2 linked regions of the Struthio camelus genome follow. The protein of the gene in region 1 interacts with the protein of each later gene in a pairwise test. Links are inferred from orthologs where the notes say so. Each region holds a gene or a part of one and is shown on either strand. Other genes may lie near its edges.

What was found.
Region 2: the proteins of COIL (region 1) and PDZ and LIM domain protein 5 interact in binary tests that used the Homo sapiens proteins (3 or more experiments, as listed by UniProt). The two-hybrid records come from large-scale screens. The link is inferred for Struthio camelus from reciprocal best matches to the Homo sapiens genes COIL and PDLIM5.

Annotation. Positions count from the first base shown.
Region 1 is NC_090960.1:5,473,227-5,480,095, forward strand, and holds the start of COIL (coilin), read left to right. Parts: upstream 1-3,856; 5' UTR 3,857-3,919; coding exon 3,920-4,179; intron 4,180-4,381; coding exon 4,382-5,579; intron 5,580-5,908; coding exon 5,909-5,995; intron 5,996-6,869. Other genes in the region: SCPEP1 (retinoid-inducible serine carboxypeptidase), read right to left, coding at 276-348, 486-560, 1,066-1,221, 2,120-2,209, 3,028-3,173, 3,648-3,726. UniProt on the Homo sapiens protein: Component of nuclear coiled bodies, also known as Cajal bodies or CBs, which are involved in the modification and assembly of nucleoplasmic snRNPs.
Region 2 is NC_090945.1:15,049,471-15,056,324, forward strand, and holds the start of PDZ and LIM domain protein 5, read left to right. Parts: upstream 1-3,834; 5' UTR 3,835-3,958; intron 3,959-3,967; exon of another isoform or gene 3,968-4,048; 5' UTR 4,049-4,207; coding exon of another isoform or gene 4,208-4,212; 5' UTR 4,213-4,227; coding exon 4,228-4,276; intron 4,277-4,487; exon of another isoform or gene 4,488-4,502; coding exon of another isoform or gene 4,503-4,516; intron 4,517-4,724; exon of another isoform or gene 4,725-4,849; coding exon of another isoform or gene 4,850-4,851; intron 4,852-5,115; coding exon 5,116-5,284; intron 5,285-5,626; coding exon 5,627-5,668; intron 5,669-5,787; exon of another isoform or gene 5,788-5,898; intron 5,899-6,854. UniProt on the Homo sapiens protein: May play an important role in the heart development by scaffolding PKC to the Z-disk region. May play a role in the regulation of cardiomyocyte expansion. Isoforms lacking the LIM domains may negatively modulate the scaffolding activity of isoform 1.

The sequences.
Region 1 (6,869 bases):
TAGGGACATTTTGCTACCGCCCCACTTCAGATGCGAGTATGCTCCTCACTGACTTTGTTCTCAGAGCTTTCGTAATCTGGATGTGTTCTAAAGGGAGATCTCTTCAGTCACAGCTTGCAATGTTTAAATATTTCTTTTTGGTGATTTGATTTACCGGGCTCACTAGAGATTTAATTCATGGCTGGCATTTTTTGACTCAGATACTCATGGAACAATTAAAACAAACAAATAAACCAACCACACATACACACACAGTCTGAAGATTTTGAACATACCTAGAGGAGAAATCCACGAGTCTCCAAGAGCAACCCCAACAAAATTGCATTTTATGCTCCCCTTTTGGACAGCCTTGGCACATCAGAGAAAACAAACAAAAAAACAGCTTTTACTTAGATGTCCACGACTCTAGAACTTAGATCTCCTTAAGTACTTGTAGGATACCACATTTTTAAGTGAAAAATGCACTAGATCCTCCAACTACTTACCTCATGCAACTCTAAAGCAACGCCAGCAGCCATTTTCCCTCCATAAGATTCAGAAAATATGTAGAATGGGATGGTCTGGAGAGAGAAGACAATAAACCCATTAGGCCCAGGGCACAACAAACCCCCTCTCCACCCCCTATCCAATGGCCCACAGACCCTGGGCTCTGGCTCTTCGCCTCCCAGAACGAAACACCGAATGTTTTCTGATTCTGACTTGCAAGATGAGATTTCTACAACTTCCTGGTGTAATTACTGGGGAAAGTTTTGAAGCAGGCACTTCAGTATTTTGGAATTAAAAACATCCCTGGTCCTACATGCTCCTCTGATAGCAATGGACACAATAATCCACCCCTTTGCTCATCTAACTGCCTCCCAAGACAGCAATTTGAGATACCACTTTTGAGTTGCGGGAAACAGAGGGCGCTGGTTATACCTGCGGTACCTCCCACCAGCTGTGGGCTACCTAGTAGCAAACAGTGCCCATCTAGAAGGCTGTTCACGCCCTCTTTCTAGCTTTCTTTTGAGATCTGCCTAAAAGCAAAGAAAAATGTGAGACTATCCAAGAATTCAAATCACTTACCTGGAATTCTGTCCTAGACTTGAAGAATTCTCCAAGAAAAACCATCATATCGGAGACTACTGCAGTAAGGTTTTTGGCAAACAAGCTACAGTCATCTACATAACTGAATCCAGTACCCACAGGATTATCCACAAACAGGATACTGGCTGCCTGCAACTGTACAAGCAGAAAGAAGGGTCGCATGAAATCTCAGGTCAGCTACCAGCAGAGCGTAGGTGCAGACTTTGGTTTTGACAGCATAAACGTCTGAGCCATTGACTCTCTGATTATGAAATGACTTGCAGAAAAGTGAAGTGCATGTCTAACATCAGAGAATGGTACGGGGGCACTTTTGTCTGTTAGAATGTGAAGTAAGAAATTAAACAATGAGTTTTTCTTTTGGGTGCTTTTGTCAAATTGCTACAGGAAATGCTTAGTTATACACTTACAAATGTACAAATAAAACCAATATATCAGCACAGAGAGGGCTAACATGGCTCAAAGCAGAAAGAGCTCATAAATAAAGTACAACATAAGATCTTTTGATTTGCCCGGTCTGCGAAAGAAAGGCACCCATCATCCAAAGGCACCCATCACCCAGATGATCCAGAGAAACACAGACTAATACAGGCATTAGACGACTGGTTGTGCAGAGCACGCGAACCTTCTGGTGAATAAACCTCTAACTTCACCGACAGCTGTAATTTGGTGTCCCTTGAAGGCCATACTGGACTCATAGTTGGAAGCCACTGCTTATACGCCCGTAAGCTATGATCTGAAATAACATCTTTCTAGAATTTCCCTATTTTCAGTTTCCCAGCCATTTGCAATTCACAAATTTATGCAAGCCCAGATAGTCTCCGAATCAAATGAATAGGCCTATTCTTCGTTTCTTAGCAAGACTATTTGGATAAGCCATTTTATTGACCACATTATTTCAAGATGAAATATCATAGTTCTACTGAGTTTAAAATTAAAGCTTTTTTGTGGGCATTTTTGCTTAGCAATCACCTGCTTGCCCAAGCAATAAGCATGCCTTTCAGTGAATAATTAGAAGCTGAACTCTTTGCTATACCCAGGTTGTATTTCTTGGTTTCATTTCTTTGTCTAATGGACCAATCTCTTCAAAGTTTCCAAATCCACAGCCTGAAGATCCTGGACCTCCCTAAGGGGGGAAGATAAGAAGTGAGGAATAAGTTAAAAGGCAGCATGGTATGGATATGAGAGACAGGAGAATAAAAGCAAACCAGTAGAATGACATATTTTAAAATAAAAAAATATCTTTTGCACTACATGCTCATTTCCAAAGAAGGCTTTCTTCCTCCTTTTCTTTCATTTTGTGTACACATGCTATTTCTGAAGGCAAAGATGTAAGAGGGAAGCAATGACCCATTTGTGAAAGCATCTAATGAATCACCTTATGCAAGTGCAGTTTGAAAACCGTTCCCCTTATTCCCTTCATAAGGGATGCAGAAGTTAGCTATATGCCAATGGGTGCTAGCTACCGCTTTTAATCAACGTGTACAGCATATGCCTTTCACTCCAAAGGAATAACCCAGAAGGAGAAAGACCAAGTCATTTTCTGATTATATTCAGCATTAACTCCTGAAGTGTACTGCTGGAGGTGAACGTGGAGCACATATCACTGCTTCTTATCACCCGCAATTGAACGAGATCAAGCTCTAAACAATCAGTCTCCCTTACCTGCTTTCATATACCAAAGTTCCTAAATCTCTAATCACTTTATCTACTCTTGTAAGCTCTTGACGCGATAGAAGGTGAGCAGCTGAGGGCCCCCCACAAGCACGGATGGTATTTTCGCTATGCCTCCCTGACCGGAGCACCTCGCTCACTAGTCAGGAGTCACCCAGAGTCAGACGACCCTCAGCGCTACCTCTGCGGAGCTGCAGGAGACCCCTCACGCTGAACCGGGCGCGGAAGAAAAGCGGAACTCGTCGTAAAGCCTCTTCCACCAGACCTCACCTGCAGCCACAAGACGAGAGGCAGCTTTGTGAAGTCCTCGGTGGGGCCGTCGGCGTAGTAGAGCCACCAGAACATGTGGGCCTTGTTTCGCACTTGCACGTAGCCCCACAGCTCCTTGGGCTCTCGGGACTGCTTCCGTACCGCACCTGGAAACCACCAGAGACGGAAGGAAGGAGGGAGCTGGGCACCAGCGGATCAGCTGCCGGCTCGCCCCCAGACGGGCTCCGGAGGCGCGGTAAGTAGAAGCGCGTCCACTGGAAAACGCTACCGCTGGCAGCGCCGCGCGGCCGAGGGGCGGAGGGACATCGCGGCCCCGCCGGGGGGCCGCGGCCGTCCTGTCCCGTCCCGTCGGCCGGGGACGCTTTCGGGCGCTCGGGCAGGGCGGGGCGGCGCTGGCGGCCTCCCGGAAACGCCGCGGGAACCGGGGCTCCCTCCCGGCGACCCCATCTAGCCCGCGCGGACACCGAGTCCTGTCACGGCCCCGAGGAAGCTGCCGCCGCCTCCTCTCTCCCCTCCCCCCCACCCCGGCGGCGGCGGCCTCCGCCAGCGCGGCCGGCTCGGGGGCCCCCAGGGCGACCCCGCCTGAAGAGCCGCGCCCGGAGCCCCGGCCCGGCCCGTACCGGCCACCGGCGGCAGCGGCGGCAGCGCCGCCAGCAGCAGCAGCAGCCGCCCCGCGGCGGTGCGCGGTGGCGGCTCCATCGCGGCGGCGGCTCCCGCTGCCTCACGCGCCGCCGTCACGCGCGCAGCGGAGGGGAGCGCGCGCCCCGCCCGCCGGCCGGCAGGGGGCGCGGCCGCGGCTCCCGCGCCGCCCGCCCCTTTTGTCCCACGCGCGGCGCCGTCTGCCCGCCCTCCCTCCGCTGCCCTTCCTCCTCCTCCTCCTCCTCCCCCTAAGATGGCGGCGGCCGGCGGCGGCGGCGGCGGCCCGGTGCGGCTGCGGCTGCTGTTCGACTACCCGCCGCCGGGCAGCCCGGGCTGCGCGCTGTGCTGGCTGCTGCTGGAGCCCGGCCAGGTGCGCCTCGTCACCGACCTGCTCAGCCTCATCCGCCACCGCTTCGGCTTCAGCCGCCGGGCCCGCCTCAGCCTCTTCCTGGAGGGGGCGCTGCTGCCCCCCACCGAGAGCGCCCGCCTCGTGCGGGACAACGACTCCCTGCGGTACGGCCGGGGGCGAAAAAACCCGAGTGCGGGGGGGGGAATAAAAGGGGGGAGAGGTGCGAGAAAGGGGCCGGGTCCGCCCGGGGCTCCGGCGTGGGACAGCGGCCCCCGTGGCGGAGACCGCGGTGCCCCGGCTCTCGGCTGAAGGCTCCGAGCGCGGCCCGGGTGCTGACCGCGGCCTGTCGGTTTGGCTTTTTGACAGGGTGAAATTGGAAGAGGTGGTGGCAGATGATTCCGAAGAGGTAGACCACGGCTTCTTCTGTACCACAAGGCAAGACAAAAAAAGGCATGGAGAAAAGCTGGAGGAGGAAGGATCGCCTAGAAGCGAAGAAGACAGGCACAAAAGGGAAAAGAAAAGGAATAAACATAGTCCTGAGTATTCCTCTTGTAGGGAAGAAACCTCTGTAAATAGTTGGGACTCTCAAAAAAAGTACAAGAAAAGAAAAAGGAAGGAAGAAATTAGTGGAAGAGAGAGACTCACAGAAGGTAAGGAGGAGAGCTCTACTGACCAATTAAAAAAGCTTAAAAAAGCAGAGAGGGAGAAAGAGTTGGCAACAAAAAGGAAGGATGGAAAGCACACAAAGGCCACTGGAGCAAAGATGGGTTTAGAACAGATGAATGACAGCTTTTCTCTAAATTCTGGTAAAAATAACACCAAAAAAATCACCACACAATCCAGGAACAAGAGGGTAGGACCTTCAGATTCAGATTCCTCCAGCACATCATCTGACACTGACAGCAGCGAAGTAAATGTAAAGCAAAATGAATCTTCCCATAAACCTGTGGTGGCAACGCTTCCCAGAAACGCATCCCAAGTTGCTGCAAATTCTGATGTGAAAACTGTTGTTTCTGGTAAAGTGACTGCAAAGTCTAAAGCTGAAAACTCCACTAAGACTGCAGTTAGTAAAAAATCTAAAAAGGCCGAGTGCTCTAGTTCAGATTCTGACTCAAGCGCAGAGGATGACAAAGTGGCAACAGCACAAAACAGTAGCACAAAGAAAAAGCCATTGCCTAATAATGCAGCCGCTGTAAAAAACAGTACCCCGAAGGCTCCCAAAGCACAGGCCTCTTCTTCAGAGTCTGATAGTTCAGATTCAGAAAAAGTTGTTAAAAAACCCAAAGCAAATGCTGGACCAAGTAATTCTGTAGTAAGAAACAGTGATAAACAGTCGCCAGCCAGCGTTCAAGGAGCATTTCCCAGCCCAGCTCTTGGAAGGGGGCGAGGAACAGGAGATGAAAACTTCTGGAGAGGACCGAGGGGCCGCGGGTTTCGCGGGATGACGAGGGGCCGCGGCCGTGGGAGAGGAGAAAACCAGGGCTTTTTCTATAACTACGAAACTGAAGGCCAGAAACAGAGGCAGTTAAATGAAGCAGTGACAAACACTTCAGTTCTTGTGCAGGTGAGGGACTTACGCACTCGTTAGTCACCTTTCTCTTGCAGTTTGAACTGTACAAAGATGATGTATAAGATGTGCATTGTTATAGAAGCAGAAAGAGATTATAGTCTTTTGATGTAATAAACCTCATAGTTAGAGTATTTCTGTTTAGCAGCCTGAGGAAGTGTTTATGAAGTAATATTTAAATGACTGAATTGTATTTCTTAATACAAAACACTTAAATCTGTACCTTAACCTTCTCAGAATTTCCTCCAGTTCACACAGCACAAACATTGTCTTCTGTTTTTATTAATACAGTAATTACATCAGTAGGTTTACTGTTTCTTTCACAGAATCCTGTGGAGGTCCCCAAGAGAAACTATAGCGTATTACCTCTTCTAGCTGCCCCGCCACAAGTGGGAGAAAGAATTGCCTTTAAGGTAAAGAACTTGTGAACTCTAGAATGTTAGTGGGCTGAAAATCTTTCTTTTGGGCCACTATAAATTTTGCAGGACATGATACAGATAGCAGAGTCCTGACAGCCAAAAGCTTACACTGAGGAGTTTCAGCTTGCCTTGTTGTGGGACTGTTATCCTAGAAATATAAGAATTGGGAATCCGTACAGTGCTCTTTGTCCTAACTATTTGTTCTTTTTTCAAGATTTTGTTTTAAATTTAAGCAGGGCCTTCAGAACCTAAGACTTCTGATCGTGTCTAATGTTTGTAGGCATCTTTGAAATTGTTCACTCCTCTCTTACTGTCTTTCTAATCTAGTAGTTTCCCACGTAATAGAAAATATTACAGTTTCTGTTGTTGGCTTTACAAATATTTTAGCCTGAGATGTCTAGCTTCAATTTTGCTTTGATTTTAGAAGGGTTTTGAGCACACGCATTTAAGTGAAATGCACCGTCTTTGAACTTACTGACTTTGCATAACATAAGCAAAGAAACGTTATCTTCACTTTTGTTTCAGTGGGAATTTCCACATACGTTTGTGCAGTGACTCTCTTCCCTAGCACACAGGTCACTCCCCAGATAACCGAACTTTCCTGGTTGCTCCTTCACAAAACGTCTCTCTCTACCGTCCGCGTTTTTCCAAGGTTTATGTTTAAAAAAGAATGCCCTGAAGAAGCATGTTACCCTTCTCTTTGTTACATATAAGGAAAGTCAGGATTAAAACTAGCTGCTATAAAAAGAAAAAAATTCCCTATGTTGTTATTTTTCCCTAGAGTGTTTCTATGTACGGTTGCAAAATTTGCCTTACAAGTAATTATACTTCACTGCAAAATAAAAAAAAAAAAACAAAGAAAAGTGAA
Region 2 (6,854 bases), on another chromosome or scaffold:
GCTTCCCGGGGTTACGCGGCGGCGGCCGCAGCAGGCTCTGCGGGTTGCGGGGCTGCTGCGGGCTTGCAAGCTCTATGAGGCAATACCGAAATATCCCATTCATTCCCAGGGACCGGGGCCTTGGCCCTTGTCCAGCGGCGCCGTAAACTTGTAAAACTGATGGATCGGTTTCCCAAAGGTCTTCATTACCGAGGCTTCTGACTTCTCAGCAACTGGAACGGTCCCCTAAAACGTTCAGAGCATCTAAGACGGTTACAACAAGCTTACGGTGAGCGTTGCCTAGGGGCTCGGGCCCATCTTCTCTTCCCAGCGTTTCCTTGCTCTGTCGTACCCAGCGCAGGACAGTTGGACGTGACTCTCTCGGGGCTGATCTCTGTCAACAGGAAGAAGTCACTTTTGAAAGAAATGTAGTGCCGCGGCTCCCTCAAAGGCAGCAAACACCACTTAGGCACCGTGACAAACGCGTGCGAGTACATCCCAGGTTGGTTTGACAAATCTCGGACTCTGGGGTGAGCTGGCAGCATAAATGCGTGCTTAATTCAGTTTCAAATATAATTCTGGCAAAAAGTGTGAATTCAGCTTTAGGGGACTCTTTTACTTTGTTTCTTTTTTTTTTTTAATGATATAAAATCCAAGGCTGTGCGTACCTCTGGTCTCTCTAGGCTCCTCTGCTTTGCTCTCCCTGTCCCTCCCTGCGGTTCAGGCAACCGATTCCACATTGAAGCCGTCGTCCGTTTTGCTGGTTTGCAGAGCACCGTCCAGACTGCGTAGGTGCGCTGCCTTTGCACATGGCGTGCAGCTACCGTTTTAGCCAAAAAAAAAAAAAAAGGGGTGGGGGGGGGAAGGTTGTTTTTAATGCGTTTCTGATTTGGAAATGTGGAACAGGATTTGAATGTAGTTATAATGGTACGAGTATATCGGTTTGGGGGGTTGGAAGCGTTGCGCGTGCGTGCTTCCGGAGGGTAAAAGCTGCCCCCTTCCCCTTCGGTTTCAGGCAAATAGAGCCGAAGCAGCACGCTGCTCCCCGGCGGCTGTGGCAGTGCCGCTCGAGCCAGGCGTCCTTGGCCATCCCAGAGGGATCCTGCTCTCCACCGACGGCCTTCCCACTGGCCGGACGGGTAGCGCGATGGTTTCCATCGTCCTTGAGTCGGCCACCTCCTTCCAGAGGAGCAGGCGAAAGGTCCGGAAACGTAATTCAGCGGGCGGATGCCCAAACTCCCCCCGGGCGAAGGCTGCCCGTGCGGGAACGGCTGTGACTGGGCTGGTTTTTTTTGGCAGGACAGCCTGCCGATGGCAACGGCTGGGGCCAAAAAAAGAAGAAGAAGAAGGGCACTTTGAAGCACTCGTCAGATGTAAACGTGATGGGGATGGCAGGCTGCAGTACCTCGGACAGGAGAGGCTCAGGCACGGGGACGCTTCCTTGACTCCTGCCGGCTAGAGAGGCAGGATGCTCCCAAGAGCCTCCAGTCCCTTCTGCTCTTCTTAATTTGTGTGTTGCTTTTTGGCCAAAAACGCCGGCCGGGCGCGGGGTTTCGCTCTTCTGCCAGCGACGCACCGAGCTGTGCGACAGCCACCCTTGCAGCGCCAACGAGGCGGCCAGGGTTTTGGCAAACGGCAAGAGGGATATAAATCATGTTAACATGATTCCCACGTGAATATACCGCTGGTGTGTGTAAACGCGCTACAAATTCTTAAAATGTATAAATATCAGCTTCTCTGGGTGTGTTTTTTTTTTTCCCCTCCATTCCCCTTTGTCAGAAAGGATTAGAGGTATTTTATTTACTGTGGGAATAGCTTTAAGTTGCTCTAGTGTTTTTTATGGGCAGCAGCTAAAAATAAGACCTTTTTGACATGTTCTCAGATCTTATTACGCACACGGTTGGATTCAGCATTTTCCGGAGAAATACAGCTTTAGAGGCGCTTGCAAAGGCCTAGCGAGGCTTCTCTACGTGCTGGGTTTTTTTCTACTGATTTACCTAAACAGTTATAAAATCCAGTTGAATTAAATCAGTGCAATATGCCAACTATTTTTTTTTTAATCGATGCTGGTATGAATAATAATAATTTTGTGGCAGCACCAGCATCCGTCCAGCCCGGTGCGGGGGCTGCTCCCTCCCTCGCTAAGGCAATATGTTACACGGACAATTAGAGGCGAAGCTGCATCTCCTCTCCCATGACGTTAATTAATATAAATAAGCGCGAGGATGGCTCCGAGGGTTTTGGTGTTTACCTGCCCGGCCCTACAGAACTGGTGGTCGTGGCGGTGCGTCGCGCGCAGCTTGAAGACGACACTCGGCAGTTCCTCCCTCTGCAAGAGGTGGACCGTAACTAAACCTCCCCAGACCCCAGATTTCTGCCCAAACCATTCCCGGGTGCTCGGGGGAAGGACACTGAAGCAAGCGGCTCGCTTCAGCAGCTGGGAGGGTGGCTGTGGTGTAGGAGAGCGAAGGGGGTAAGTCAGCCCGGGGCAGGGTGACCCAGCGGTTCACGGCTACTCGGGAGCTTGGCAGGACCTGCTGGAAGGCTTTATCCGACGTGGATGTGGCTTCTCGTGTCCCCTAAAATTAAAAGATTTACTAGTTGTTTTACGGGTTTGGTTGGGAGGGCAAGCGCTTGTCCCGCGCCTGCCGGCGTTATCGTGTGGCTACGAACGTTTCGTCCGAAACGCTCAGCCTGCTGAAGTCGAGGCAGGTTCCCGCGACGGCAGCGCGGCCCTTTGCCCCGAGAAGGGGGCAACGGAGCAGGTGGAAGTAGCTGAGGGGCCCGGGTGAAGGACCAGGCTTTAAACGGCCTGTTCGGCCGAGTCGCTGCGATGGAGGCAAGCCGTAACCCGCGCGCGGTGCCCTCGTTTACAAAATTCATCAGAATTTTGGGGGACGTAATAAATAAAGGATGCTGCAGCAGTAAATGCTACTTTTCCTTTAGAAAGGAATGCATTACTCAAGAAAAATCAAAAAAAAAGATGAAGAAGAAATCGAGCTGGAAAGAAGACAATAAATCTCTTTATAACCTGAAGAGCTCTAAGGTCGCTAGCTCCCTACAGTGGGAAGAGCCACGCTGTTAACGTCTTAATTTAATGAACGCCACTAGCTTAAAAACCGGAATGGCCACCGACATCGCGAGCGAACTGCACGCAGCCGAGGCCTGAGGCTGCAGAAATTAGAAACAGCAATGCAAGAAAACGTGTGTGCTGGAAAAAAGGTGTTGATGAGAAGTGAAGATGCTGGCATGCCAGAGGTATCTTTCCAAACCAGGGGCAGGAAAAAGCAAAAGCAAAGTGCTTCTGCGACACCGGTTCTAAGCAGGTTAGGATTCAGCGTGACTCGAGAAAAAAAATTTGCCGTGCGTCGCTGTCAAAAGCTTATTTCGGCCTCTGTTTCTGAGAAACGCTTGGAACACGTCGAATTTTTTCCACTGTTTGGCCAGAGAATTATCTCGGAGCTGGTAACAGCCCGTTAGGCCACAGACAAATATTCACGTTAACCGCTCTAAAGAGCAGCTTACTTAACGCTGAACTCTGGCCGCGCGCTAGCTGGAAGCGCTTGCCTTGACCTCACCCCTAGGAGAAAAGCAAAAATGCAGGTAGCCGTGCGGTGCAACTACGGCTTGGAGATCGGTGTCTGGGCGCGCAGGAAGCCACTGCCTGGCTCAGCTACTGTCTGATCAGGAATTATGTTATTGTGCATTGTTAAGCTGGTCGTAATTTATGGGCTGTTTTTCCTACGGCTTTTTGTATTCCACAGCCGCCGGTGGTTTTCCCTCTGTGTCCGGGTTGGTTGTGGCGTGCCCGTTATCTGGCACCCAGGGCACGTCGTTAGCCTTCAAACAGGACTTAAGCGCCGAAGTACCGTGGAGATGTGCTGTACCTGCAAGGCTAGCTGACTGCTGCGTTTGATTAGTTCCCAGACTTCCTCCTTCCGCGTTCAGGAGGAAAAATGCAAGCGCCGTCTAAAATACGGTCCGGGCAGGAAGAAGAGGGCGGTTGCAGTTCTTCTGGCTGACGCTGAGGTTTTTCCTCACCTTGCTATCTTTTTATGTCGTTTTCCAGCCCCAAGGGGAAGCTGTCTCCGAGAGGAGAGAGGCATTTGAAAAGCGACCAAGAACAGAGGGATCTCCAGCTAACGAGCTGTCTCTAATTTCTGCGCCCGGGCTCTGGAGGCTGCGTTTCTCCAGCGGGAAACGGATCTGTATTTGCCTCAAATTGCTCATGCTGTAGGTTGGGTGGTGATGACTGACGGCCTCGAGCGGGGAGTCGCATCGGCTGGGGGGGCAGCGGGTAGGTACGGAGCACGGGGGCAAAGCGCCTCCCGTGTCGCCGCAGCCTGTCGCCACTGCTGACTTTGCTGCGGCGCCTACCGGCAAAAGTCCCTCTGCAGCTTTTCCTTTAATCCTGACCAATTAAAGCAGCGCAGACTTGCAGGCATTAACTCGAGCGAGCTGTTCCTCTGCTGAGAAAAGCTGAAGGCTTTTGGCAAACTGGAAGCAGAAAAGGCTATATAAATATGCGTGTGTGTGTGTGTGTATCTATATATATATATATATATGTATATATATGCATGCATTTATATATATGTATGTATATATTTATGTATTTTATTAACGTGGCTAGCTGGTATGCTAGCGTGCGTGCCGCAGACAGGACGGCAGAGCGGGGCACCGGGAGCAGGTTTCTACCCCACCGGTCGGCGCAGGGACGCGCCGACCTTGGAGGCGTCACGTGAGCCGTGCCGGGGAGTGGGATCCTGGAGCTTTCTGTAATAACCGAAACAGCACGGGAGTGACCTCAGGCCCTTGTGACACAATGAAAAATCACTGCGGTGGGGAATTTTTACCTCCATGAATTGAAGTCATGTGAGAGAGCCTGGCTGTGTAACGGGGGTTTTCAGTTTTGCCTGATTAGAGATACTTAACAGGAAAAGAGCGGAGTGAAAGACAGGACGGGTTCCCGAAGGGCGCGTTAGCCTGGGTTTTATACGGTTTTATTTTTCTGAGAGGCGTTTAGCGTAGTCGCGGGGCAGAGCCCGGCGTGCCGAGGGGGCCGGGGGCGGCGGAGGGCTTCGTGCGCCTTGGCGGGCGGTAGGTGGGCGTTCACCCTTGCCCCCTCTGCACTTTCAGCTCAGCACACCCCGAGTCGGAGGGAGGGCTTGCAATTTACTCACGGCCACTTCATACCTATTTGTTCTTGCGCCAGCACCGTCTTTTGGCTTAAACGACTCCTGGGCCTCGCTGGCCTTGGCCGCCTGGACGTTACGTCCCTGTCAGTCCTGGTGTTAGTCTGCCTTAGGTACGCCAAGCTCGCCCTTTTTTTCTTCCCCTGAGGCAGGTCCCCGCTCTGCCAGGAGCTCGCCCCTGCGGCTGCAGAGACGGGCTGGGTGGGCTGCGCTCTGCACCTCCGCGTGTGTTTGTGCAGCGGGGTATGTTGTGCCCCTGGGTGTATTTGTGCATTGTGCAGCGGGGTATATTGCACCCCCGGGGTGTACCCCCCTCGTCCCCCCAAGGCAAAAGTGGGCCTCAATTTCCGAGGCAGCCTGGGGGTGGGCGGCAGGGGCCCTGGGCCCCCCCTTGCCCAGCAGAGCCGCAGCACAGCACGGAGAGCCCTTCCCTCTCCCCTCCCGTGCCTTTGCAGGTGCGCTTTTTGGGGTCGGAAGAGGAGAGCGAGAAGAAAAAGGTGAGTGTGCGTTTCCGCCTTTTAAAAAAAAAAAAAAAAAAAAGGAAAGAAATAAATTAAAATGGGGCCGGGCTGGGCCGGGCCGGGCCGGGCCGGGCCGGGGGAGGAGCGGCGGGGGCAGAGCGGGGGGAGGCGGAAGTGCCGACAAGAGCGGCGGCACCGCGCCGCCGCCCCGCAGACCGGCCGCGCGTGTCCCCGCCGCTCCGCTCCGCTCCGCGCCGCTCCGCGGGGTGAGTGTCCCCGGGGGGGGGGGGAACCGCGAGCGGCTCGCCTGGGCTCTTTTAATTCATCTCTCTCTTTTTTTTTTTTTTATTATTATTATTATTTTGCGTGTGTGTTTGCATGCTCGTTTTCCGCAGGGGCGCGGCGTCCCAGGCCCGGCGCGGCGGTGAGGGGCACCCGCGGTGGGGGGGGTGGTGGTGGTGGTGGGTGCGCTTTAGGTTAAAACGCGCCTGCAGTGCCGTGCTGACGCCGGCGGGTCAAGGAGAGGAGAGGGGCGACGCGGGGTGATTCCCCCCCCCCCAGCCCCACAAAAGAAAAAAAAAATCTATACTTAATTAAAACGCTGTTTTTTTAGAAGGAGTTTGGTGCGCGGGACAAATTCGCCGCGGTCCTGGTTTTAGCGGTGATCTCGGGCTGTGGCCTCGGTGGGGCTGGGAGGGGAGAGGAGCGGCATCAGCTATAGCAGCCCCCCCGGGTCGCCTGCTTGAAAGGGCTGTTTTGTCGTAGCGTGAGCGGGGCTGCTGAGTTGCCCGTTTGGCTTAGAAACGAGCCGCAACGGGCAGCTCTCTTTTCGGGGGTGGTGGTGGTGGGGGGGGGGGGGTGTCCGGAGAGGCACGTCGCTGACTGCTTCCTCAGTAGGCGCCTTGAAAGGGAGATGGGGAGCCTGCCTGCTCCGCCGTCCCAGAAGCAGCGGTGCCTGCAAAATGAAAAAAAAAAAATAAAAATAAATCCCCACCTCGCCCCGCGGTGCGGGAATAGGTAAAAACTGAGCTGCGCAGCGCTCGGTGGCGTTGGCAGCGGGCGCGCTTCTGCGGCCCGGCAGCTCCACCTTAAATGTCACGCCGGCAGCGTGGCATCTCCCTGGGCCCCGGTGTAGCCTTACACCAGCGGCGCCCCGCGCTTCAGCCGTACAAAAATAGAAGGTGCCCGCTACCTAAGATGTCATTGTCGCCTTACTTATCTG